Xenopus tropicalis: one gene and its partners. The protein of the gene in region 1 interacts with the protein of each later gene in a pairwise test. Links are inferred from orthologs where the notes say so. Each region holds a gene or a part of one and is shown in the gene's direction. Other genes may lie near its edges. The genes, in order: exoc1, kif5a, ccdc88a, trio, sybu, nup54 and trim9.

Region 1 (3,500 bases):
TCAGATCTTTGAACAGGTATTAAGTGAACTGGAGCCACTATGTCTGGCAGAACAAGACTTCATCAGTAAATTCTTTAACCTTTCTCAGCACCAGAATATGTCTAGAACTCCAATGGTAAGGCACACCCTGCATTTATTTATTTGCTTTACTATTCTATTTAACCTGCAGGTTTTTACAGCAATCTATTTTAAACTAGACTCATGACCCTCTTTCCCCTAGGGTCTATGCATGTGGAGGGCAGGATTTTTTTTTTTTTTTTTAAATGATATTTAAATAATTTTACATAAAGAGGCGATTTTATAAGTCCCATAGTTTGCACCAGGTCTTGTTATCCATACTAACCAATCAGTATGTGGTATCTACTGGCAAATATCTTATTGGTCGCTATGGTTAGAGAACCTTGTGCAAACTTTGGGACTTTTAGTAAAATTATATGGAGTGCAACAATCTTGCGTTATTTTTTCAATTCTCTTTAAGGTAAGGTGGCCATACATGTGCTAATAATAGCTGCTGAGATTATCCCTCCAGATGGAGTTGGCATCTCATTAGCCTGTGTATGGGGCTTTCAGGAGGGCCTGGTATCTAGTCAAAAATCTGTGAGATATCTCTCAGCAAGTTTTAAAATTTAGTCCAATGAGTCTCCATAGGCTCGCTGTACAATCTGATCTTTGCCAAAGTAGGGAATCTCATTGTATATAGGCAGTTTTAGTCTTTGCCCAATCAGGACACATTTAAAGTATAAACTAAAAAATTGCACTACGTTATGATAAAATTGTAATTGTAAATTCCCTTTAATTTGTAATTGTAAAGTCCCTTTAATGGACAAAGAAAGTAGCATAACATCAACCCTTTTGAATTGCCACATTGTTCTTTCCAAACAAGATTTTACTTTTACTCTCTCACAATAAATGATGTCCTCAGAGGAACTCGCAGCCACCATCTTTGTTCTGCCAGCAGGCCTGTTTATATGTAAAGGTAACAAAGGCCTGGGCCTGGGTGGAAGGATTTGACAACCGTTTGAGTCTCCCACCAAGTTGTCTTGGAGCCAGTTGGCTCTTGAGGTGGGTTAGTGCAGATGGCAGTGGTCATGTGGGCAGGGTGAGCAGCCTGGCAGCAGCGGGAGGGGCCCATGGCAGCACTGACTGGCCCTGCCTGCCAGCGTAATCTATATTGCCTTCACCTTACTTTTCTGCATGCGCAAATAGGTGTTCCCACTAATCCTACATGACAAGCAGTACTCTCTTCTCTAGAAATCTTTAAATGCATTGTTCTGTGGGTGCTGCCCATCCATCAGATCTAAGGGTGCCCATAAAAGGGCAGATTTCAGCTGCCGATTCTGGTCCTACAGACCGAATTAGCAGCTTATCTGCCCATGTATGGGCACCCCCGACGGGCCAATATTTATCAGGTTTGATTTTGCTTAGGATTGGGGCTGCATCGGCTCATTGATGCAGTCCCCGATCAGACGGCACCTATGCCTCTCATTGTAATTTGATTAGCCCGATATCGATAATCATGCACACTAGAATAAAATGGTGAGGACATATTCAGTGCCCTGTGTGATGGCCAGCAATCATAAGCAGTATTTCCTTTAAAAGGTCAGACAGAAACAGCATGGTTTGACTTAACAAGCTTATGATGTTAGCCTTCTCGGATAAGTAAACCACAAAATTCTTAAGGAATGTTGTTAAAAAGCATAGAGGGAAGATTAGTAAATGTAATTTATGAAGGCATAAATAATTTATTTCATTTATCTGTTGCGGTTTTCTTAAAGTCTGTCTCACTTATATTTTTAATGGATCAGTAATAGGCACTCCAGTGCCACTCTACTGCTAGTTCTGACCTTGCCTCCCCTAATATGGTTCTGGGGGCAGTGTTATTATCTGTAACAGCATGAAAACGAAATCAGAGCAAGCCTGCTCCAAGGAGCTGGGTCTTGGGTTCAATAATGTGTTTTAAAAAATGCCACATGGACATCATGAAACAAATGCTTTGCATTTCTGTAATGTGTTAGTTATATTGTACTGTAAACAATATAACAATGGTGCAGTAATTAATTTATCAGTTAAGAAACAGAAAAATCCTAATCCCCCACTCCTTTATATAGCTAAATAAATCTCCTATACATCAAGTTTACCCAATGCTATGGTTGTTAAAAACCTGTCCTATAATTGTCTTCAGGGAGGTTTAGGTTTAGGTTCAACCCCACCCAGCACTACCTCAATGTCAGATTTTTAGTACTGCTTATTAAAGGAACAGTAACACTAAAAAATGAAAGAGCTTTAAAGTAATAAAAATATAATGCACTGTTGCCCTGCACTGTTAAAACTGGTGTGTTTGCTACAGTAACACTACTATAGTTTATATAAATAAGCTGCTGTGTAGCCCCGGGGGCAGCCATTCAAGCTGGAAAAAAGGAGAAAAGGCACAGGTTACAAAGCAGATAACAGATAAGTTCTGTAGAATACAATAGTGTTTTATCTGTTATCTGCTAAGTGCCTGTGCCTTTTCTCCTTTGAATGGCTGCCTCCATGGCTACATAGCAGCTTATTTATATAAATTATAGTAGACTTTCTGAAGTAAACACACAACTTTTACCAGTGCAGGGCAGCAGCACATTATATTTTAGTTACTTTTATACACTTTCATTTTTTGGTGTTACTGTTCCTTTAACTGTAACATATAATGTGCCCAGTGCTAAGACTGATTATGGATATTAGTCCCATTGTTATTCCGTAACTTGTAATACTCTTGGCCCTGGGCTACCAGTAGTCTTATCATTGACAGTTGGATGTGCAATTAGCCAATGTATTTTAGTCTGTAGCTCATGGATTTCTGTTTTATTGACTATGAAAGCATAACTAAGCAGTGTGTTTCAGTTCTTCCTTCTTGTACTAATTCCATTGTCTTTTCAAGGGCGAAACAGACGAGTCAGATGGAGGAGTTTCCTCTCGAACCCAAAACACCGGAGCACAGTCAGAGTATGTTCTGACTTTTCCCATTTAATTGTCCATATGATTGACATGAACCTGGAAACAGGGTTTTACCATTCTAATCTTTTGCCAGAATACAGATAATACATACTGAATTGCCTTGTAAATCTGCTTCTCATATAATTTCACATAATTTTTCCTTATGATGGGCAATGTATTCTGATTCTCACTTGTCTTGCCTTATGAAATTATCTACATGCCTTTAATCTTGTTACGATGGAACCATTTAAAAGAACAAGGAAGCCTAAATAACTGGGGGATGTAAAATTTATTTTCATGCTAAGTGTGGAACCGTTATTCTTAAGAAGTTCTGTGCCCCACCTTCTCTATCCTTGCCACTGTATCATTATATATTCCTATCTTATTATCACCTTGCTTGGTAACCTGGTTGGTGTGGACTGTCAGTGTATCTGAGATTGTATCTGAGATACTTTTCCTTCTGTGACCCTGTAGCTTTGTGAAATGCTAGGTAGTGGATGGTATTTTCTAGTCATTTGAAAGTGCAT
Region 2 (3,500 bases), on another chromosome or scaffold:
GGGAGTCTGTATACTGGGTAACTCGGGGTATACCCGTAAATGGCAGAACCAAGCTGGGAAGCCATGATAACATGAATGCAAGGTTTTAATGAAGACAAAATAGCAGAACAGCAACTGGTGCAAGTTGAAAATATGAACAAATATACAGGCCAGTGACAGGAACAATCGGCAGTCAAAAATGTAGATCAGTAATCAGGCCAGTAGTCGGGACAGGCAGCTGACGGAACAAAACTGAACGGAACAAAACTGGGAAATTTACAAGAACAGAGCTAGGAGGGGCACATGAGTACAGGAACAAGACAGGAAACAAAGAACAAGGCAAGGACTCAGGAACTGGGAACCAGATGGGGGTCTCAGGAACAGGAAAACACGAATCGCAAGAGGGCAAGATCTAGGCTAGAAAGCTTAATGACCAAGCAAGGACAATGGCCAGTGGCAGGCTTATAAAGGGTCTTAATTAAATTATAAGTTACACATTGGGCTAATAAGGTGGGCAGAGGAGGAGGTAGAACGATCAGGACCAGCCATAAGAGCCTCCAGGGGTTCAGTTGGTAAGTACACAGTCTCAGAAATACATGCACAGTGCACATTGCAAAATCCATTGCTCTCCTATATAAATTGATTTCCTTATTAAGGGGATACAGTGACAATGGTAGAAATGTGACTGTTATTTGGTTCATTTACATTTATAAAACTGATGTTTGTTATATTCATACCCACAGGAAATGCTACAGATATCAATGATAACAGGTAAGAAGCACTAATAATGTTTTCTACTTTTTGACTTCATTCCAAAGGTGACAAAGATTACAAATACAATGAAAATGCATTCTTCTGTCACTAAGTATATTTCCCATCATAATGCTCCTTCTTTATATCAAACCTTGAACAGCGTTACCCTTGCTTACTCTACAATAAATCACAGCCTCTTTGTAATGCCAACTGCATTTGAATGTTAACCAAAGACTCTAAAGCAGTTGTACCCAGCACTGAAAATGGAGCACTATTTAAACTTAATCAGGATATGACACAGCGCATCAATAGAAAGATATCTTTCTGTTACTGATACTGAGGTATTGTTTTGTGCTATCAATACGAAATGTAACGGATCATTTTAAACGCCAAGTGCAGCAAGCAATGTGAAATTTTGAGCCCAAACTGTGTTTTTTCCCGTTATTCAGCATTTTTTCACATAATTCCAGTGTCCTTACACCACCAGGGGGAGTTGTCCCTGATGCGATTGTAGCTGATGTATCAAAATTAACTTGCACTTCAATGTTAATTAAACACGCTTTCACTGAAGTCCAGTTGGCGTTATTTCTGGTGTCTGGCGAGAGAGTGCTTTGTGTGGCTGATTCATTAGATACAAGCATGCTGCGCCTGTTGATACAGTGCACTAAGGGAATTCTGGAGCTACCGCCTGGCCTAGAGGTGGCAATAGCTAAAGGGATTTTCTGCGTCAATAGGTGCAACTGTGCTTGATACGGAACAGGAAGCATGAAGGACTGAGAGGCACAAAGGCAACTATACAGAGGTGCAAGGAGCACATTTTAACTTTTAATGAATGGGGATTTATGGGCAACTAACTGGCGGGAAATTTGTGGGACTCCAACTGCGCTTGTGGTCTTAATTGACCCCTATAGTTTCTTTTTTACCCTTCAGTAAATCTAAAAAAAAAAAAAAATCTTTCTGGTGAGCTGGTGTGAACTCTAGTTTAATAAATACACAACATACAACCCTTTTAACGATTTATAGAGATGTGTGCAAAATTGTCCTCTTCACTTTCCTTGAAAAATCAATGACAGCCAGGAAAGTGTTAATATGAAAAGTGGTGTGAATCACTCTGGAATTCCCTGTTGGATATTTAATAAGTCTATCCTGTACAGCTAATATAACAGTATTTCATATAACAGGAAATGTTTTTAAAAATACTATATAATGTAGGATTATTTTGTCACCAATATGGATCCAAAGGACTGTTAATTATAGAGAAAAAAAAATTCTTTTTAAAAATGAGAAGTATTTGCTTAAAATTGAGTCTATAGGAGATGGCCTTCTTGTAATTCAGAGCTTTCTGGATAATGGGTTTTCGGATAAACCCATTTTTGCTTTGAAGTTGTTGCATTATTTCAAAACAATGTTTCTATTTTCACTACAGAAGCGATTTGCCATGTGGCTGTGAAGCTGAGGATCAGTCCAAGTTGTTCCCTCTTCATCAGGAGACAGCAGCCAGCTAATAACGCAGTCATATAAATTCTCATATCATGTGCACTTTCAGGTAATACCTACTTTATAACCCATTTAAATGGTCTGGTCAGTTCACATGTATAGTCATTATTTATGGAATATTGAAGGAAAAGATTTCCTCACTGCTGTCAATATTGCTTTACAGATGGCTAAATGCGGGAAAATATTAGGAGTTATTTGTGAAGCTGAACACAGTGTGCAATCTGCCATTTTTTTGCACTATGCACATTATAATCTTCTGTGTGCACACCACTTAGGAGCTCAGAGACCTGCGGTTCCCCCCATGAATACAGTGCTGGTTGTGTTGTATTGGGGAGGAGCAGGTGGAGTAATTAAGATGTGCATGTTAGTGAGCAGCATGCAGCAAGGATAAGGCTAATGCCAGACGAGGCGTAGGGCAGATATTTTCAGCAAGCGGAAAAACACTTGCCAAAAATTCCGCCCTACACCTCCTACTTGTGCCTGCACCCGAATGAATGAGATACACTCGGGTGCAGGCACATGTAGCTGATATACGCATAAAAACGCGAGACTTTGCATTATCTCGCATTTTCATGCGTATATTGGCTACATGTGCCTGCACCCGAGCGTATCTCATTCATTCGGGTGCAGGCACATGTAGGAGGCGTAGGGCGAAATTTTCAGCAAGCGCTTTTCCGCTTGCCGAAAATATCCACACTACGCCTTGTGTGGCATTAGCCTTAGGTTTGGCTGGGCTTCCTGAAGCTGTGCTTGCGCAGTTTACCCCAGGGCACAAGTGCATACTAATGAGCACTAAGGGGCATGCTCTTGTGATATAGCACTTGCCCAAGGGGTAATGTAAATGTCCCCTGGCTTAGCCACTTCTGACCAACCTGTCAGCTTTGTGGCCCATGTATGTTGGCAAAACCATAACCCCACTGACCATATAGCTCCCCTGTTGAAATCTACATCAGGCCCTGGATGCTGTCCTCTCTGAGTAGGTCAACATAAAGAAAAATCTTCAGCACACCACTTACATACATGTTCTCAGAGGGTGCTTAACTTCCACGGCCGCTCCCAAGCCTTTTCTCCATGTAGCTTTGCAAAGGGAAAGAAGCACACCAGTTGTGTCGGCAATGCCTTTAAATCATTTATTTGCAGAAATGAGCAAAACAGCACAAGCTTTCGGGGGTGACCCCTTCCTCAGGTGCAAGGAAGGGGTCACCCCCGAAAGCTTGTGCTGTTTTGCTCATTTCTGCAAATAAATGATTTAAAGGCATTGCCGACACAAC
Region 3 (4,163 bases), on another chromosome or scaffold:
CTTCTCACAATCAACTGTCTCAGCGCCTTCTTGCTGACTTAACCCTTCATATTCCAAGGCTTTCTCCCGCAGGCACCCCAACCCCAAGATTGGCTAAAAGTCAATACAGTGCCCCAGGAGGGTTTCCCAAGCAAGTCACTATTCTGCATTGTTGGTGCTGCGTTGCCATAGTAACTGTCATCCCAATAATTATTCAGTTGACTTCACGATGGCAGCTAAACACAAACAGTATCACTGCTCCGTCTGTATTCTGATGCAAAACCTGCACCTTCCGCAAGGTTTTGTTTTTTTACCCAAATGCCAACCAGGTTCTAGACATTATAATGTGCCAAAATACCTTATTGCACCATGTATAATAGTAGGGTATATATTAAATGAGAGATACGCAGCCTTGCATTTTGTATAAAGCCACCAGATATGCCCAACCTTGCCCCTTTGGAACAGGACCTGTGCTAAAATCACATTCAGTATAAACAATTATCCATTCATTTAGATGCACTGATTGCTTTGCAGCCTTGCCCCATTCAATTGCAACTCATAGAATGCCAGGAAGATTGTGGGAACTTTAGGGCTATAGCTTAGAGAACTCTTTTTTTTATGTTATATCATCCAAAGCTGACACAGGGCCCCCATCCCGCCCTGCACCAATGTCTAATTAGCTTGTTCAGATGCAGGCTGCAGCGATTTCTGGATGAAAATTCATTGGTAATTAGTCTTTCAGCACGTGGATGTCCAGTTTTAAAGAGGATCGGAATTAAGCCAATGTCCGGCTATTGTTCAGATGCTGAGATGTGTACTTCAGCAACAGCTGGTGGCTAAAAGAAACCAAAATATCCCCACTTGTGCAGGGATTGTGTTTCTCGCCTGGAGGATCCATAAGGCTTACAGCTGACCCTGCTGTCCCCTGTCTGTGGATCCTATGGCATAACTCAGTGAAATATAAACACTCCCTTATAAGCAGCACCACCCTCATAGCCCACCAGCCCAGAAAATATCCTTACTAAGTGCAGAGAACACTGTAGTCATTTTAAGATTTTAACAATATTAGGGACGTCTAAACCGATAACCAGAGGTCCATAGTTAGATCTGGGAGTTGTAGTTTAACAATAGCTGGAGGAATTTAGATTGTTAATCCATGATTTATTGTAGTGGAGCTTTGCCCTCCCTGTATTGCCCTTGACCCCAGTTCTTCCCTGACCCATAGAGAACTAGGTGCATGGTGTGGGGTTCTGCCCTGGCCAGGGGGAGGAAGGGTTAATGAGCAGAGGGTAATACCTAGCCAGGCAGAGGTGCAGGCCTGATTATTCTGGGGGAGGGGGGATATAACAGTATAGAGCTGTTCTCTGCTTAGGCATCACTCCCCCCTCCCCTCCTTACAGATGCTCCTATGAGAGTGGGGGGCAGTGTAGTGAAAATCAGACTGCTGCTTATTCTTCTGCAACATAAAGGAATTTCTGTGAACTGTCTACAGAGAAACCCTAAGCAATAATAAGGGGGGGGGGTATTATCACATTTCCCTTCCAAACCCAAATGTTGGGGGCAGCAGCAGCAGCAGCATTATAACGGTTAGTGCTGGGGGAGCGGCTGCACAGTCACTATAGGGCTGATGGATGGGCGAATGGGGGGCAGTGCCAGTCACTGGGGGTAACAGATCTGCAGAAGATCAGGGGCAGACATGTGCCAGCAATAACCATCCCTAACAGGAAGAAGGGAGGGGTTGGGGGATGCTGGGCTTTTCAAATAATAATATGTAGATCCAATAGGAAGTGTTCCCCCCTGTGCGAAGCAGGAGCGGACGGGGGCCCATTAGTAGGCGCATAGGGCAGCAGAAGCTAAAGGCTAGGCGCACGGTCGCCAGTCGCAGACGAGGGCAGCACACTGCGACTTTTCCCCTTTCACCCCCCCCCCCCCTTTCTGTGCGATGTGCAGAAGCCCAGAGCCTCTCTCCTCCCCTCCTGTTCCTTCATTCCCTCCCCCTTTCCCAGTCTCCAGATGATGCCTCTCCCTTGTGCAGCCCGCAGCCCCTGAGCCCCGCAGCCCGCACCTCTGCAGCGCCGGGAGGGAGGGGGCCCGCTGGCCGCTCGGCAGCACAATGTCTCCCGTTTATTAAGGGGATTTGGTACCGGCGGAACATTTCTCCAACCGTTTCCATTTTGGGGGGATTGCTACGTTTCATTTAGGATTTTTCCTTTTCAAATGGCTCGGCGACCCCGGGACCAGCGGAGACATCTATCGCATTAGGAATATCTGCCTCTGGTTTTTTTTATTAAATCGCTGGATTATCGTCATTATTTTTATTTAGCTGTAGAAAATGGAGAACGAAATTTTTGCTCCGATCTTGGAAAATTTTATGTCCAGCCCTTTGGTGATATGGGTAAGCGTCCGTATTCTGCGCGTCTCTCCTGCAGCTTGTCGCAGCGTGGTGCTATCAGCCCCCTGGCACATCCCTATACATTAACCCTCTCTCTCCCTGAGCTTAGTGCCACCATCAGCCCCCTGGCACATCCCTATACATTAACCCTCTCTCCCTGCAGCGTGGTGCCACCATCAGCCCCCTGGCACATCCCTATACATTAACCCTCTCTCTCCCTGCAGCGTGGTGCCACCATCAGCCCCCTGGCACATCCCTATACATTAACCCTCTCTCTCCCTGCAGCGTGGTGCCACCATCAGCCCCCTGGCACATCCCTATACACTAACCCTCTCTCTCCCTGCAGCGTGGTGCCACCATCAGCCCCCTGGCACATCCCTATACATTAACCCTCTCTCCCTGCAGCGTGGTGCCACCAGCAGCCTCCCTGGCACATCCCTATACATTAACCCTCTCTCTCCCTGCAGCGTGGTGCCACCATCAGCCCCCTGGCACATCCCTATACATTAACCCTCTCTCCCTGCAGCGTGGTGCCCCCATCAGCCCCCTGGCACATCCCTATACATTAACCCTCTCTCTCCCTGCAGCGTGGTGCCACCATCAGCATCCCTGGCACATCCCTATACATTAACCCTCTCTCTCCCTGCAGCGTGGTGCCACCATCAGCCTCCCTGGCACATCCCTATACATAAACCCTCTCTCTCCCTGCAGCGTGGTGCCACCATCAGCCCCCTGGCACATCCCTATAGATTAACCCTCTCTCTCCCTGCAGATCAAGACCTTTGGCACCTTGCTCAGAGGGACTGGCACCCTGCTGGACGAATATGTGGCGTTAATAGACGGTGTGTTTCTGAATGAAGTCATGTTTCAGATGTAAGTCCAATCACAATCATAAAAAAGCAAAAATCTGTATAATGGTATCCCTGGTGCTAATTTATATATGCATTTAGATCATGTCGAGATTATATGGTGTATAAGGACTACAGACATATATGATAAAGATTCCTGCCACTGCAGACAGTATCAGAGCAACAAGCAGAGTTAATTAACTAAGCATAATTAGCTGACAGTCAATGAAGAATTGTGCTTTCTAGCATGACGTCTGTATAACCCAAATCAGTTATCCAATTATAGGGTGGGGGATCTTTATTGCCCTTAGATTTCTATGACCTGGTAATAAATATCTCCTGCTTTGGTACATGTTACCCTTTTGCCCGCTGCACTGTGATGCAGAACCAGGGACTGGCACATCTTAGCCTATGTATGTTTGTGTGGGGGGGTTCCCCTCCTCCTCAGTGAGTCTAACAGGGCTTGCAATCCTTGATTGACATTGACACCTATGTACAGTGACAGGAATCTGATCTGTGAATTCCAATGACCCATTTTATCGAAGCGACGAGCCTGTCCTTAATCTCAGAAAATGTATTGCTTTAGACTACTATAAGTTCATCGGCTTAGTCTAATGTAACGGATAAGCATCTCCAGCAGGGAAGGCCTTTCAGTATTTGGAGGAAGTAAAAGCTATGTGGGTGTCTTAAGAAAAATCTGTAGCTTAGAAGACATTGAGCCATGTGCAGGGGCTGCAGGCCAAGATAAGGAAGTGGCTCACATCCAGGCAGTGACGTCACAACGAGCCACAGGCTGGGAGAGCTGGCCTTCATGTGTTGCTCACTTACCAATATGTGCTGTTGGCCCATATTTCTAGGACAAATGCAGGATGTATATCGCACACATGCTATTAGCATAAATGCTTTTTAATTTATGAGATAATTGATTTTTGCTGTGGGTGTCT
Region 4 (4,156 bases), on another chromosome or scaffold:
TCTTCAGTGCCGGATTTCAAATCCGGACGCCCGCCCCCCACGCATGCGCAAACAAACCCACCTCCCCCTGTGCCACGCCGACGCAATCGCGCATGCACTGGCATTTAAACTCCCATACGGAGCAGTGGGGAGAAGTCCCCATTGCTCCGTATGGGAGCGAAATGTCACAATTTTTTTGCGGCGGGGCGGCATGCCGCCCTAGGCCTGGGCCTTTGTGGCCTCGCTACAAATACAGGCCTGGGTATCTTACTTGTCTCTTATATATTGTCTCTTAATCCAAATACAAATTGGTAATGCTCACCTATAACAACTTGTTACATACATATATTGTCTCTTAGTTGTTGTGCTTTTTGTTCTACCATGAGGCAGTGCAAGCTCATAGTACTCCCTAAATGTTAGCTGCCCAGGTGTCATGAAAATTAAAACGTGCATTACATAAGCAGATCTGGGAAGCAAATATGGAAACTGACGGCTAGGCCTTTTTAATTTAATATATCTTCTGAAGCAGTAACTATTGCCTCAGAAAGCATTGGTCACACTTGAAAAGCAATTGTGAAGACTAAACACACTACAACATTTCTGATTCCTCATTATGACCCTTTGAGGTTTAAAGTGGGCTGCGTAATATAGCCCTCAGCAAATAGGTGCACTGACTCAGATGTTCACCAGGAAATTTACTCTCTCCAAAGTTATGGGATTTTCATAATTTTGGCAAAATTATCAAATTTATTTTAATTTACTCATTCAAGCTAAAACTGCACAAATGCATTTTTTAGCAGTGTAAAATTTTCAAAGAGAGGAGCCTGAAACACAATACACTAATAATCTACTAGCACTAGAGGAAATCCTTTTTTGGCCACAACTCAGACTGCAGAATGGAATTGCTGACCTTGCAACAATAGTAGCTTGCCCTGATTTATGTACTGAAGCAGCAGTGTTGCCTCCTTCTTGTCATTTAGGCAATATATTATTTTGTTTTTCATTTTATGTGACCAGTATAATTAATTCTGTTACTGCATGTTCCAATATCCTACAAACAGCCAGTTTTGATTCTGAAAGTGTGTTATTTTGGTACTTCTGACATATTAGCTGTTTTTCCTTTTGGGAGGCTTACTGCATTAATTAATGAACCAGTGATGTGACATCATATGCAGCACATGCATACTGGCCTGAGACAATCTGGTATTTATTTTACTGAGCAAATCCAATCCCTGTCTTCCTCTTCTCCTCCTATTTCTTCTCTCCGCTCTTTCCTGCAGAAAAAAAAAATGTCCAGCAGTGACTCATCCATTAGCAGCTTGAGCAAAAGAAGCCAGAGGCAGCAGCTTCTCACTACCTTCTTTGCTTGCATTGGTTGCTTGTGATAAAGCATTCGCACGGATTGTTTACCAGCGGATGCCTTCATTTTTCTTAGTATAACAGTGAACCATTTGTAACTAGGCAGCAATTTGGCTACACACTGCCTGTGTTTGTGTATTATCGTGTGTACATTTTATGTGATTATAATTTAGTCCGTGGAGGTTCGGGGAAAATGCAGACTCATCGCTGGAAAGATGACGGAGAAACAACATTAGGTTTGTCTAGGTTTCTGTTTTTGTTTCCCAATACAATACGTAGTTCTTGACTGGGGTATTCAGGTGCATGCAATAAATGCATCTCAGCCATGTAAAAGAGAAAAAGAGTACAGATAGTATAGATAAACAACCATCATGTTATGATTATTGTTTACCTTTCTGCATGTGGTGTCATTCATTAATTGGAGCATATTTGTACATATTAATCAGCCAATGGTGCATTCTCAGGATGAAACATGTCAAACAAATTGATGCTTATATTTATAGTAAAAATTCATGGTCTACCCTGTATAAATACTACTTGTCTGTGTCTACATATTTGGGACAGTGTATGGCAGATATTTGTTTTTCTAACTCATTGCTCTGAAAAGAACTGATATTGCTAGTGTTGTCATGAATATGCTGCAGTCTAGCTGGTTTCTTATTACATTTCCTAGCAGTGCATCTGCATCTCTGACAAATATACAATAAATAAATTAAATAAAAAAAGAAATAAAATACACCACAGTTTTTCTTATGATGAGGTAAGGCAGATGCTGCTGTTGCTGGAGAGGAGTTGACAACCTAAGATACTAGACAAATTGTGGGCTCAAACTGCAAATTCATACCATAAGGATCTGAAAAGGGTTAAGGTCATCCAACATTTGTGGAACTCCTTTAAATACGATATTACATTTGTGGTCATGTTTTTTAAAAGTATATTAAGGTACTTTTCTTTGGGCTATGTGGTTTGCCTACAAATGTACTTGTTTATGTAGCATTTTGGAGATATTGTTACATGTTTGAGATCCCTTATCCGGAAACTTGTTATCCAGAAAGTTCCGAATTACGGAAAGGCCAATTCTCATAGACTCCATTATAAGCAAACAATTCTAATTTTTAAATATGATTTCCTTTTTCTCTGTAATTATAAAACAGCACCTTGTATTTGATTCTGACTAAGATATAATGACTCCTTATTGGAGGCAAAGCAAGCCTATTGGGTTTATTCAATATTAAAATGATTTTAGCAGACGTAAGTTATGGAGATCCAAATTACAGAAAGATCCCTTATCCAAAAAAACCCCAGGTCCTGAACATTTTGGATTACAGGTCCCATACCTGTACTTAGAAAATGAGGCCATAGAATAAAGCTGGCCATACATTGAAACATTTGCTTGTTTTCAAATGAATGGATCTTTCCCTGATAGGCCCAACTTGAGGGGGTGATATGATTGATCCATGATCTGATTGGGCCAAACAGTCGGCTCACATTGATAGGATACAGGCCATTGGGATAAGTCACCAGGCAAGCCATTCATGCAAAGACAGCAGTTTGGATCATTTACAATTTACTTTATATATAACATAGTAACATAGTAAGTTGGGTTGAAAAAAGACATGCGTCCATCACGTTCAGCCATAATGCCTATATATACCTGCCTAACTTCTAGTTGATCTAGAGGAAGGCAAAAAACCCCATCTGAAGCCTCTCTAATGTGCCGCAGAGGGGAAAAAATTCCTTCCTGACTCCAAGATGGCATTTGGACCAGTCCCTGGATCAACTTGTACTAAGAGCTATCTCCCATAACCCTTTATTCCCTCACTTGCTAAAATCCATCCAGCCCCTTCTTAAAGCTATATAATGTATCAGCCAGCACGACTGATTCGGGGAGGGAATTCCAGAACTTCACAGCTCTCACTGTAAAAAATCCTTTCCGAATATTTAAATGGAACCTCCCTTCTTCTAAACGGAGTGGGTGCCCTCGTGTCCGTTGGAAGGACCTACTGGTAAATAAAACATTAGAAAGGTTATTATATGATCTCCTTATATATTTATACATAGTTATCATGTCAACCCAGGTGCCTTGTTTACATTTATCTTGTGTAACCTTTTAAGCACCATATCCTGTGTCAACCACTGTGTAGTTGGATGTGGCATCCTTGCAGCAGGATCTTGACCAACTGGCAATCTGGGCGGCTAAGTGGCAGATGAAATTTAATGTGGATAAATGTAAGGTCATGCACCTGGGATGTAAAAATATGCAAGCCACTTATACCCTTAATGGGACTGCACTAGGTAAATCCATAATGGAGAAGGACCTTGGAGTCCTTGTAGATAATAAACTTGGCTGTAGCAAGCAATGCCAGGCAGCAGCTGCAAGGGCAAACAAGGTTTTGAGCTCTATTAAAAGGGGTATAGATTCACTGGAGGAGGGGGTTATTCTTCCCCTTTACAGAGCACTGGTAAGGCCCCATCTAGAATATGCTGTTCAGTTTTGGTCTCCAGTGCTCAAACGGGACATTCAGTTAGAGAGGGCCCAGAGAAGGGCAACTAAGCTGGTAAAGAAAGACTGGCCAAGCTGGGTCTGTTTACACTGGAGAAGAGGCACTTAAGAGGTGACATGATAACTATGTATAAATATATAAGGGGAACATATACAGGTATAGGACCTGTTATCCAGAATGCTCGGGACCAAGGGTATTCCGGATAAGAGGTCTTTCCGTAATTTGGATCTCCATACCTTAAGTCTACTAAAAAATCAATAAAACATTAATTAAACACAACAGGATTGTTTTGCATCCAATAAGGATTAATTATA
Region 5 (3,500 bases), on another chromosome or scaffold:
CCTGCCTGTGTGTGCCATACTCAGCCTGCCCTATGCTGCCTGTGTGTGCCATACTTCGCCTGCCCTACGCTGCCTGTGTGTGCCATACTTCGCCTGCCCTACGCTGCCTGTGTGTGCCATACTCAGCCTGCCCTACCCTGCCTGTGTGTGCCATACTCAGCCTGCCCTACCCTGCCTGTGTGTGCCATACTCAGCCTGCCCTACCCTGCCTGTGTGTGCCATACTGCCTGCCCTACCCTGCCTGTGTGTGCCATACTGCCTGCCCTACCCTGCCTGTGTGTGCCATACTCTGCCTGCCCTACCCTGCCTGTGTGTGCCATACTCTGCCTGCCCTACCCTGCCTGTGTGTGCCATACTCTGCCTGAACACTGCAGAGGGTAAACAATGCAGAGATTAAAAGGTGCGAACTACACAGGGGATTACTTTTTTAAACAATACAGGGGGTTTACAGCCTGAATCTGAGATGTAAACCATGCAGGGGGCAGTTAATCACAGTACTGATACCATTTAAACTTACACAAAGGTAAGCCATCAAAGTAGCCAGACAGGGCACGCCAGTTGGACAGCACTGGTCTAATGGAAACGAAAGTCAACCCAATAAACTTCTCAATATGAGGCTAAACGTAAAGTGTTAACATTCTGCCCAGATAAACTGCTTGCTGATAGGCTGCGCCTTCCTTTCCGTTCTGTTGCCATGGAGCTGTGTAGATTTGCTTACTTGACCCGTAAGCGCAAGCAGTTATTAAAGTCTCTGTCTCCATGGCTACACCGGCGGGGAAAAAAACCCACTTTCCACTAGGGGGGATAAAGCAGATATTCAGTTCCATCTGTTGGCAATGGTTTGCTGCCTGGGCTATGGGAGCAGTGTTACAAGGGGCAGCAGGGAGCCCAGCCTAAATATTTATCATCTCCTTTTGTTTTAGGCCATAGCAACTTAATGAAACCCAGTTGGCAGGGAACAATATATCTTGGGCAGAATAATGGAGAAGCGCTGTTTACATTTTCTGCAGCACAAAGAGCTCAGAGCTTTGTAGCCTGTTACCTTTTAATTAAATTTGATATTCATTCTTTAACAGTGATTCTGAGACCAGCAAATAATACTAGCAATGGAAAATGGAATTGCCTTTGTTCTATAGTAACTGAGGAGGAACACATTCTGATTTTAGTGGTTTTTGAAACCATGGAAAACCACAAATGCAGAGTAATAAAACGGCCTATTCTAAAAAGCACAAAAAAAGAAAAATGCAAAAAGAGTCCGAATAAGAAAACATTGAAATCCTCATTTACATAAGAATTTTTCTGCGCTTCCGAACAAATAAACTCCACTAAAACCCACAAATGTCTAGTCATTTATTAAAAGATTCAAAAATCACAAACAAATTAAAATGCAGAATGAAAATGAAAAGAACACAAAAACCACAATTTTTTTTTTTTGTGGGATTTACTTTTTCCCATTAATCTTTGTGGACTTTGCCCAGTGCAGTTCCCATTGACTTCTACATGGCCTCGACAGCTTTTGGATGGCAAAGTTTTGCATTAGGGTTTTTTCGTGGTTTCTATGCTCCATTCCCAAAAAAATTGAGTTTTAGCAAAAAAAAAAAAAAGGAATGTTAATAATTGCCCCCCTAAGTGTCGGACTTTCAGTAATTAGAAGAGCAAATCCCACACCTTACCCTAAGTGGTCTTTAGGTTGAGCCCCCTGCCACTTCTCTAGGCCTCCCTCATACACAATCAGTAGGAATTACACATTTCATTTAGCATGTTAGTTAGGCTAGTGTTTGAGAAGTGAATAAACACTCCTAAACCCAGCGCTTCTTGATAAAAGGTCCGTATGTGTAAGTCTTCAATATAGTGAGAAACCAATGTGAATCACGTGCTGCTTCCTCTTGATATCAGCTCCCCTTTAGATGAGCCTCAAAGTATGTATGCAGTAGTGTTGATGGAAGCGCATAAAAGTAAAACAAAACAAAACAAAAAATATGGTGCAGATCAATGGGATAAAGGAATCAAAAAAACTATAAACAAACTAGAACGTGAGTGCTTAGTCAAACACCAATACTAGATAAAGTGACCTCAACTCTGTATATATTATAATGGTGTTGTAACTGCTCACCAGAACATCTTAAAAAGAAGCATGTAGGTCAATCCCAGCCGGGCATTGATTGAAGAGGGATCCAATTTCACAATGTATATAGGATAGAAGATGAGGCAGATATAGTGTAAAATAGTTTAATATAAAAATAACATTCTATTTTGCTTTGCTCCTGAGGAAGCGTGCAGAGAGCACGCGAAACGTGTTGAGCTACCGCTGACACTTCATATGTTCATTGCTTTTATACTACTACTACTACATTGTAAGTAGCCTGTATTGCGCAGGATTTTATTTTTTTTATTTTTATTTTTGTAAGTGTATATAGAAAATGTAGTGATAGTTGATATAGCTGAGCAAAATGGCTACAGTAACGGTAAATTGGGCAAATTGAGAGAATTCATCCATTTCCCACTACAATAGTCCAGCTCTGAAAGGCTATAAGGGAATCATCTTTGGGGAACTCCATCCACAACACTTGAGCTTTTTGAAAAGAAAACATTTTTTCAAGAAACTTTGCTATATACATCAATTAATTGTTCTCCTGCTGATCTGGCTGACTACTTTGAGACTCAAAAATGTAACAGTAGTTGAATGCCCTCAGCCCGCCCTTAGCCTGCATCCTCCCAATCCCACAATTCCCTGCACACATGATGTCAATAAGGAAAGGAATATCACTGCAATGCATTGTGGGTTATGTAGTTCCTGCATGCTGTCTGTAAGCTGTGGAGAAGTTGTTACAATTTGTAACATCAATGTTTTAGTCCCTCCTCCCCTGCAGCTGGATTTCAACATATAAAAATGGTATTTATTCCTACTTTTTGAAGGAATACAGTAGTAGGTATATTAGGGGTTTCTGTGTTGTGTGGGGCTCTTCAACAAATGTTGGTTCAGAGGCCGGAAAAAAATTAGCAGCTACACCTGATGCCTGATTTCAACCCTAACTTTAATTATCTCTATTCTCTCAAGAGAACTAGCTGATTGAAGGTAAGTGCAGCTGAGATATAGATTTTCTGCCTGGGACAGGACATAGCAATATAGTTAAAACGGTTCTATTAACTCTGCTCTGCATAATGCAGTGTGTATGGTGCAGTCCCTCCTCCCCCATTGCTGAGCTGTCCCTGGCTTTGCTTTGTAGGCAACATCATGAGCAGTCTGGGAGTGCTTTTTGCCTTACATTTGCTTTCCCTTTGCATACTGTAGGCAGTGAAGCTGATTTCAGTTCGTCGAGCAGCACGGGAAGCATTTCTGCACCAGAAGTCCATATGACGGCAATGTCTGGGAAAAAGGCGTCTTTCTCACGCAAGTAAGTTATCTCTGAACAGACTTAGCCCTAGCACCCCCAGCTGCAGGTCAGACTTCTTACTAGTTATATTAGAGATCTCTAACCGCTATTGCATGGTGTAATATG
Region 6 (3,810 bases), about 41 Mb from region 1:
GTGCAAATATTTGCTCTTTTTTTATTATGCATTTATACAGACATGCTGACAGAAAATTTTGTTCTGGTGTTAAGCCTGTTACGAGAGATATGCAAACAGATACCAGTGCTGTAGACACAACTAACATTTTTTTTATTGTCCCAGGCTTATCCCTGTTCCTATGATTGGCTTCAAAGAGCTGCTGAGAAGACTTGAAGTCCAAGATCAGATGACAAAGCAACACCAGAGCAGACTTGATGTAAGATTTAAGTACAATGTTTTCATTGTCCCCTATATAGACTATGGTTCTCTTATACAGGGAATCTCCTTTTCTTTTGTCTCTAAACTACTAGTACTTAATTCTTTATTGCAACAGTCATTTTGTATTTATATTCTATTATTGTATTTTTCTTAATATATTATTTTAATGAACAGCACTGTGTCTACAAGTAGTGACATATATAAATAAAATACAATAATAATGATACATATATAGGGTAAAATTCAAAGAAAACATTAATGGCCTAAATATCATCCTCAGATTATTTCGGAAGATATTGGAGAACTTCAGAAAAACCAAGCTACAACAATGGCTAAAATTGGCCAATACAAAAGGAAACTAATGGAACTTTCTCACAGGGTACTTCAGGTAATAATGTTTCCCTCAAACTTTTATAGAATTTGCATTCAAGCACTGCCCAGTATTTATTCCCTTGTCAGTTATGCTCAATCTTTGAGTTGTTATATTTACGTAAAAGCTAAAGTGCTACCAATTTTGTATTGTGTTTTTGACTTTTAGGTGCAGAAGCACACATAGTACTTATGCTTAACTTGTTTATGGCATTATTTGGCACTTAGCATTGCTTTGCCATTGCTTGTTAAAAAAAGAAGGGACAGTTCAAGATGCTTTCATGCATTTAAAAACAATTTGTACTGTATGGGATATAAAGGTTAAATTTACAGTGCAGTGTATGTTAAACAGGTTTTAATTAAACAAGAAATACAAAGGAAAAGTGGATTTGCTATCCAAGCAGAGGAAGAGCAATTACGTGTACAGCTTGACACAATCCAGAGTGAACTTAATGCACCAACCCAGTTTAAGGTGAGTAATAAAATGTAATTTCTACCTTTGGTCAAATATGCGTGCTTCTTAGTGTCTTTTTACTAAGGGGGGGGGGGGAATGGCTTAGTTGTTCCTGGACTCCGAGTCAAATGCTTGTATTAAGTTCCTTTATAATGTTCTCAAGGCCTTTGACAAGTCAGTTAATTTTGTTGTCCCTCAGACACCTCCTCTACTGAAGTTGTGGGGCAAGTCACGTAATATCCTTTTGCACCAAACACGCTTGAAAGCTGTACAGAGTAAGCAGTTGATTTTGGTGAAAATAAGTAATGTTGAGTATTACTCAACATTCATTTTATGTATGTTGTTTGGGTTTATGTAAAAAAAAAACCACCTTGCCTTTATGTGTGCTCTGTAATTATTTAAAATCCAATGACAGTATGAGTCAACTTATTTTGAGACACCAATGTCAGATTTACAACTGAACAAAAGTATTTTTATGTGCCTCATTGCTGGCTCTGCATACTGCACACACATTTAAAATATGATTTTGCAGCCACCATAATGTTAGATACTGTTTTGTGGATTATTCAAGTGATGTGCAGGTGTTTTGTTACTATGTGCATATCTAGAATTTATTTTTACACATTTTAAATGTGTTCCTTCGTGCCCTCAAAGAGCTGCAAGTTTGACATCAACTGTTTATTTCCTCCAGCTATATAGCAGTCTCTACATATAAAACAGAAGCAGCAACTAAAACAATGGTTTAATTTAAAAACTTTGTCATTCTAGGTCACAGCAAATGAGACAAGAATCAACTAACTAACAGTTGCTTTTTCCTGTGTTGTGTATCATAAATATATTGATTGACAAAATTACTTTTTAACCTTGTTTTTAGGGTAGACTCAATGAACTCATGTCACAAATAAGAATGCAGAATCACTTTGGAGCTGTACGGTCTGAAGAAAAATATTATGTTGATGCAGATCTTTTGAGAGAGATCAAACAGGTAAATTATTTGCATTTTAATAGCTGTCTTTAATTATTTATTTGAACTGTTTGTGGGGAAAAGAAGTGCAGATTTCTGGGTTGCACTTATGTGCTGCAAGATACCCACTTTTTCTACTTTAGCTTGTCTGGTTCTAGTCCCTGCCAGGAGTACATGCACATTAAAGGATCAGCATATATGAATGTGTTATAACAGACAGGGTGGTGTACTATGTGCTTGCTATGCCCCTTTGCTGTATGCCCTGTTATAGGCCATTTCCAAACATTTTTAATCAAACTGGTAATTAGTTTATTTCTGCACAACTAGTAAATGAGACTAATTCAGTTGCTGATTATTTAAGGTTTTTGTATTCATAGGCCAACCTATAGGCCAAATATTCTAATCTATGCACTGCAAGTTATGCCCCAGGCATGGCTGAAAAACATTTTAAACCATATTATTTCTGACTTCTACTTCTTTACGCCTAAATTTACTGCAGTCATGTGGTAATGCAATAAAAGGTCCAAAGTTTGTCTAGCTTGAATATTCCAAAGCAGTAATCCTTATTGAGATTTATTTTACATATCTCAGAACAGCCAAATATTATAATGCTTTGTCTCAATCACTGTTCATTATATAAACATTCAAAACAGAGGCCAGGGATAATCCCAAAGTCTAAAAAGACAGAGAAATTCACAGAGGCTCTCTAGTGGCCAAAATAGATAATTAAAATAATAATGCAAATATACTCATTCACAACTTAAAGTTGAAACATCTTTTTTATTAGAAATACATATGTATTTCTTTAAAAGAGAATCTCACATTTAAAATAGATCCCAATGTGGAATGACATTCATAATTGTGCTGCTTTGCATTCTGTATCCTTAATGTACACAATTGTGATTTAAACTCTTCTCCTTTTCCCAGCATCTAAAACAACAACAAGAAGGTTTGAGCCATTTGATCGGCATTATCAAAGACAACCTTGAGGATATAAAACTAATCGAACAAGGACTCAATGATAGTCTTCACATGAGAACTGGACTCTTAAGCTGACAAGACACACAAACTCTTACATGTTAAGCGCTGGCAACTTCAATTCAACATTTTTCAATTCAACATCAGGAACAAGCTTCTGCAAGGTTGTAGTTCCTCTGTTAGCAATAAAGTAGTTATCGTATCTACCACCATATCCTTTTGAGAGGAACATCTCATTAAAATAATATTAGAAAATTTAAATGTCTTTTATATTGCTCTTACCAGATTAAAATATTTTTAGAGGCTATTTTTTTTTTTTGCTTTCTGAAAGGGGCACCTATCAAGTACTAGTGTACCCCTGTTACCATTGCCCTTAAGCACTGTAGCTTAATAAAAGCTGACCATACACATTGAAATTTCATTTTGATGTGTCCAATTAGGCCACCAATGCTCTGGTCACTGAGGCTATGGTTGGATTAGCCCAATTTGGCCTAAAGTTCGATTCCTACTGCAGGTAGATGTGAACCACAGAAATGCACATGTGGTCCTCATCTTATGGGATTATCAGATGTGCCCAATAAATACCTGCCTGATTTTTAGGCACCCATAATTGGGCCAAAAAGATGGTGTCTCGGTAAGGAGCGGCCAAATCAGCAGCTTATATTGGCCGTGTATGGCCAAATTAGGTTTGATACATTTAAAGTTAAACAAGAGTGCCACTTCATGTAATCCTACATGCTATTGTCCCTAAAGAACATTGAAAACAGCAATATAAACATTCCTAATTTTCTTGTAAGTTTGGCTA
Region 7 (3,500 bases), on another chromosome or scaffold:
ACTATTATACAATGCCATGTTTTTTTTTACCGTAAGGGCAGAAGATCCTTCTGTTTTCCTGCCAATTATATAAAATACAATTACCATAAAATAAGATGCAGTTAGGATGTTGAAGCTATATGCCTAAATACTGTGTGAAATTAGATTTCAGATGCCCTTATTCGGAGAGTTCACCTGACTGAGGATCAGTGGGGGAAAGGAACACTCACCCCTAGAATGACCACCGACTTTGATCTAAATCTGGACAGTGCACCACTCTTGCAGTCGATCCATCAACTCGACTTTGTACAGATGAAAGGTAAACTGTCTCATATTGTTCACATGATGAGATACTTATTAATACAGATGTATATGTGCATGATATACTTTTAACCTATTAATTTAATCATGAAAATGTTAGGTTTTTTTTTTAATTCTTGAGCTAAACAGGGCAAGTAGTGGAACGGAAGATACTCCATGTTTGGTCCTTGCCAGTTAGGTTGACTTTATATATCCCTCTTCCTTCTTTCTTTGTTGTGGTTGATTTGTTATCCAGAGTCAGTTATGCAGGGAGATTATCTGTCCTGTGGTAATCCAATTATCTAATATTAAATGACCCAGCAGGATCCTGTGTGGACCAAAACTGCAGCAAATCCCAGTAATTTACAGACAAAGTGTTTCAGTCAAAATTTCAAAGTGTTTCAGTGCAAAATTTTGGAACATGGCTTCTGAGGGGTAGAACACTGAGAGCATCCTAATGGAAGAACCAGTGAGGCTGGGGGTGGAAGGCTAAAAGGTCCATATTTGACCACATTAACATAAAGGAGTAATGTGCATTTCATGATTCTTATTATTGTCTGTTCAAGGGAATGTTATGGGTGTAGCATGAGGAATGTGAATAGCTTCTATAACAATACAGTGTATTTATTGCACAGTGGAAGGGATTTTTTGCTCCATTAGCGTTCCTTAACATAATCTCTTCAGTTCTTCTGCTCAGATGGGACTGAAATCAAGCAGAATCCTGTAAAAAGTTGTAATAATAACATTAAATATTTACAAAGTACCACCTAAGAATGTTTACAATTTACTTGCAAATGTCTTATATGCTTCAGTGAGTAGAGGTGGGTTTCATTACCCACTTAGATATATCAGTGATCTTACATGCTAAACACAATAATACAAAAAATGTTTTTTGCAAAATAGCATATTACAAATATTGTGCCCCTGATAGGGATATGGTACCTGTACTGGGGGCTGCCATAACTATCAAAGTTGCTATCAGAGAACAGCACTAGGCTCTGTGTAGTGGAATCCAACCTATGTAGGTTACTTTGTTAATTTTCTGGCTGTTCTCCTCTCAGTCTATATACGTACATACAAACACACCCACATATAAATATATAAACACACCCACACAAGCAAACATATACATACAAACACACGCAACCTAGGCACTGTACATTCCAGGCTCTAGGGTGCCTATATATGCTGTAAATATTGTCCTGACACACACATCACCGGTCTAAGCTGGCTGGGCCTCCTAGGCAACCTAACTCGTCACCTTAACCCTCCCCGTGTGCTATTAGGAGGGGTAGACATGATGTGGGCGATGGAGGGCAAGGGCCCTAACTAGGGGTAGGCAACAGAAGAGATATGTGTCTTGCACTTCATTCCCCCCCACCATTGCGCCCTAGTCACGTGCCTCTTCTACCTACCCCTAGTTCTGGACCTGCACATACTTTCATACTTTTATATACACACACACACACACATATATATATATATATATATATATATATATATTTATATTAATTTATTTCTTTATAACCAGTATTTCCATTATACTTGTCAAGATATTATAGGCTTTAGTTTAAAATGGGTTTATCTTGGATAGGTTTATAGAATTGATTATGTATGGAAGGCACAGATTTATCAGAGCCCGTGGGAGTCATTTCTTGCTTGTCAAGAGCAGTAAGATCAGATCCGACACTCCAACACAAAATCGTGGGCTGAAAACAGCCACACAATAATTAGATGCCTGAATGGTGCTTATTATCCAGACAGATGCTCAGTAAAAGGCACACTGGATTTAGAATAAACATGAATATTTTGTTTGTAAAATGTATTTAAAGAAACAGATTAGTTGAAAGAAAAATACCTTTACCAAGAATATTAAAGAATTTAAAGCCTCTGTACTCATTGAAACAGGGGCGTTTCTGACCCCTGAGCCCCCCGTGCTTACCTTTACAGTGCCATAGGGGGTCCCGGGAGGCGCATCGCTATTTTAGAGAAGCAGTTTCGCTTTCTGCAGTAGCAGAGCCGAATTTTGGCTCTTAAAGTTACCTGTTAAATTCAGCAGCTTTTTGCCACCCCTAGTAACTCTGGGGGTGCTGTGGCCTGAGCTCGCTTCATGGCAGCAGCACCCCGCTGTAGAAACGGTGTGGGTATCCCCTGAAAAGTTACTTGTACCTATGTGAGATTCATGCTACAGATGTGGGACCCATTATCTGGAAACCCATTACCCAGAAAGTTCCAAATTACGGAAAGGCCATCTTGCACAGACTCCATTATGAGCAAATAATTCAAATTTTTCGAAATTATTTCCTTTTTCTCTGTAATAATTAAACAGTACCTTGTACTGTATCTGATCAAAGATATAATTAATATTTATTGGAGGAAAAACAATCCTATAGTATTTGTTTAATTTTTAGTAGACTTAAGGATGGAGATCCAAATTACAGAAAGATCCCTTATCTGAGCATTCTGGATAACACAGCGCTGCAGAATATGTTGGCGCTTTATAAATGTAAATAATAATAATAATAACAGGTCCCATACATGTACAATGTTACAATATGAGGCATATTTTTAATCTAGCACTAGTTGCACCCCTCAGCGGTATAGATGCATGTGCTCTTTAAGGTGATGGTACAATAATGTACACATTCAACAGATTTTGAACACATGAACACATTCAACAGATTTTAAATCTAGAAAATGAAAATGTCATTCAAAGACATCTGTAGAACCGCTGTGGACTCTGGGGGCCTAGGAAATCTGTTGGAGTCCTTCATATTGCAACTGTATTTATGTCTAAAGGCACAAGTGTAGTCTGATGTGTAATTACCACAAATAATTTTTTGAGCTGAAAACCTTGTTTCTGCTTCCTCCTTTTCAAGCATTTACCTTGCTTGTCTCCTTAAGAGGTTCACTTGGACAAGTAACAGAAAGTGCTGTTGTTTGTCAGTGTTAAATAAAGTAATTTAGCAGGTAACTGCTGTATGTGCAATTCCTTCCTCAGACAAATATTTCCTCTGTCACACTGCCAAACATTGGCCAGCAAATTCTTTCATCTCAGCAAGTTTAGCTCAGGGCAACACTCACTCTTTATTTTGCAGCATCATTTACAAAGTAGCATAATGCTTCCTTGAATCTATACTTTCATGGGGTTTTTATTATTCAGGTATATTTATCAAAATGTTCTACATTAACAGGGAAACAGTGTCACCATTTACCACACT

The links.
Region 2: the proteins of exoc1 (region 1) and kif5a interact in a two-hybrid assay, tested with the Homo sapiens proteins (2 studies listed by BioGRID and IntAct). The link is inferred for Xenopus tropicalis from reciprocal best matches to the Homo sapiens genes EXOC1 and KIF5A.
Region 3: the proteins of exoc1 (region 1) and ccdc88a interact in a two-hybrid assay, tested with the Homo sapiens proteins (2 studies listed by BioGRID and IntAct). The link is inferred for Xenopus tropicalis from reciprocal best matches to the Homo sapiens genes EXOC1 and CCDC88A.
Region 4: the proteins of exoc1 (region 1) and trio interact in a two-hybrid assay, tested with the Homo sapiens proteins (2 studies listed by BioGRID and IntAct). The link is inferred for Xenopus tropicalis from reciprocal best matches to the Homo sapiens genes EXOC1 and TRIO.
Region 5: the proteins of exoc1 (region 1) and sybu interact in a two-hybrid assay, tested with the Homo sapiens proteins (2 studies listed by BioGRID and IntAct). The link is inferred for Xenopus tropicalis from reciprocal best matches to the Homo sapiens genes EXOC1 and SYBU.
Region 6: the proteins of exoc1 (region 1) and nup54 interact in binary tests that used the Homo sapiens proteins (3 or more experiments, as listed by UniProt). The link is inferred for Xenopus tropicalis from reciprocal best matches to the Homo sapiens genes EXOC1 and NUP54.
Region 7: the proteins of exoc1 (region 1) and trim9 interact in a two-hybrid assay, tested with the Homo sapiens proteins (2 studies listed by BioGRID and IntAct). The link is inferred for Xenopus tropicalis from reciprocal best matches to the Homo sapiens genes EXOC1 and TRIM9.

What each region holds. Positions count from the first base shown.
Region 1 is NC_030677.2:40,673,869-40,677,368, forward strand, and holds part of exoc1 (exocyst complex component 1), read left to right. Parts: intron 1-4; coding exon 5-115; intron 116-2,917; coding exon 2,918-2,982; intron 2,983-3,500.
Region 2 is NC_030678.2:140,743,357-140,746,856, forward strand, and holds part of kif5a (kinesin heavy chain), read left to right. Parts: intron 1-722; coding exon 723-750; intron 751-2,158; coding exon 2,159-2,237; 3' UTR 2,238-2,278; intron 2,279-3,500. UniProt on the Homo sapiens protein: Microtubule-dependent motor required for slow axonal transport of neurofilament proteins (NFH, NFM and NFL). Can induce formation of neurite-like membrane protrusions in non-neuronal cells in a ZFYVE27-dependent manner.
Region 3 is NC_030681.2:24,456,901-24,461,063, reverse strand, and holds the start of ccdc88a (girdin), read left to right. Parts: upstream 1-1,363; 5' UTR 1,364-2,311; coding exon 2,312-2,374; intron 2,375-3,143; coding exon 3,144-3,244; intron 3,245-4,163. UniProt on the Homo sapiens protein: Bifunctional modulator of guanine nucleotide-binding proteins (G proteins). Acts as a non-receptor guanine nucleotide exchange factor which binds to and activates guanine nucleotide-binding protein G(i) alpha subunits.
Region 4 is NC_030682.2:71,189,035-71,193,190, forward strand, and holds the start of trio (triple functional domain protein), read left to right. Parts: upstream 1-1,356; 5' UTR 1,357-1,531; coding exon 1,532-1,574; intron 1,575-4,156. UniProt on the Homo sapiens protein: Guanine nucleotide exchange factor (GEF) for RHOA and RAC1 GTPases. Involved in coordinating actin remodeling, which is necessary for cell migration and growth. Plays a key role in the regulation of neurite outgrowth and lamellipodia formation.
Region 5 is NC_030682.2:134,354,344-134,357,843, reverse strand, and holds part of sybu (syntabulin), read left to right. Parts: intron 1-3,292; coding exon 3,293-3,395; intron 3,396-3,500. UniProt on the Homo sapiens protein: Part of a kinesin motor-adapter complex that is critical for the anterograde axonal transport of active zone components and contributes to activity-dependent presynaptic assembly during neuronal development.
Region 6 is NC_030677.2:81,656,434-81,660,243, reverse strand, and holds the end of nup54 (nucleoporin p54), read left to right. Parts: intron 1-144; coding exon 145-238; intron 239-520; coding exon 521-628; intron 629-961; coding exon 962-1,081; intron 1,082-1,937; coding exon 1,938-2,048; intron 2,049-2,954; coding exon 2,955-3,083; 3' UTR 3,084-3,310; downstream 3,311-3,810. UniProt on the Homo sapiens protein: Component of the nuclear pore complex, a complex required for the trafficking across the nuclear membrane.
Region 7 is NC_030684.2:96,135,436-96,138,935, forward strand, and holds part of trim9 (E3 ubiquitin-protein ligase TRIM9), read left to right. Parts: intron 1-144; coding exon 145-298; intron 299-3,500. UniProt on the Homo sapiens protein: E3 ubiquitin-protein ligase which ubiquitinates itself in cooperation with an E2 enzyme UBE2D2/UBC4 and serves as a targeting signal for proteasomal degradation.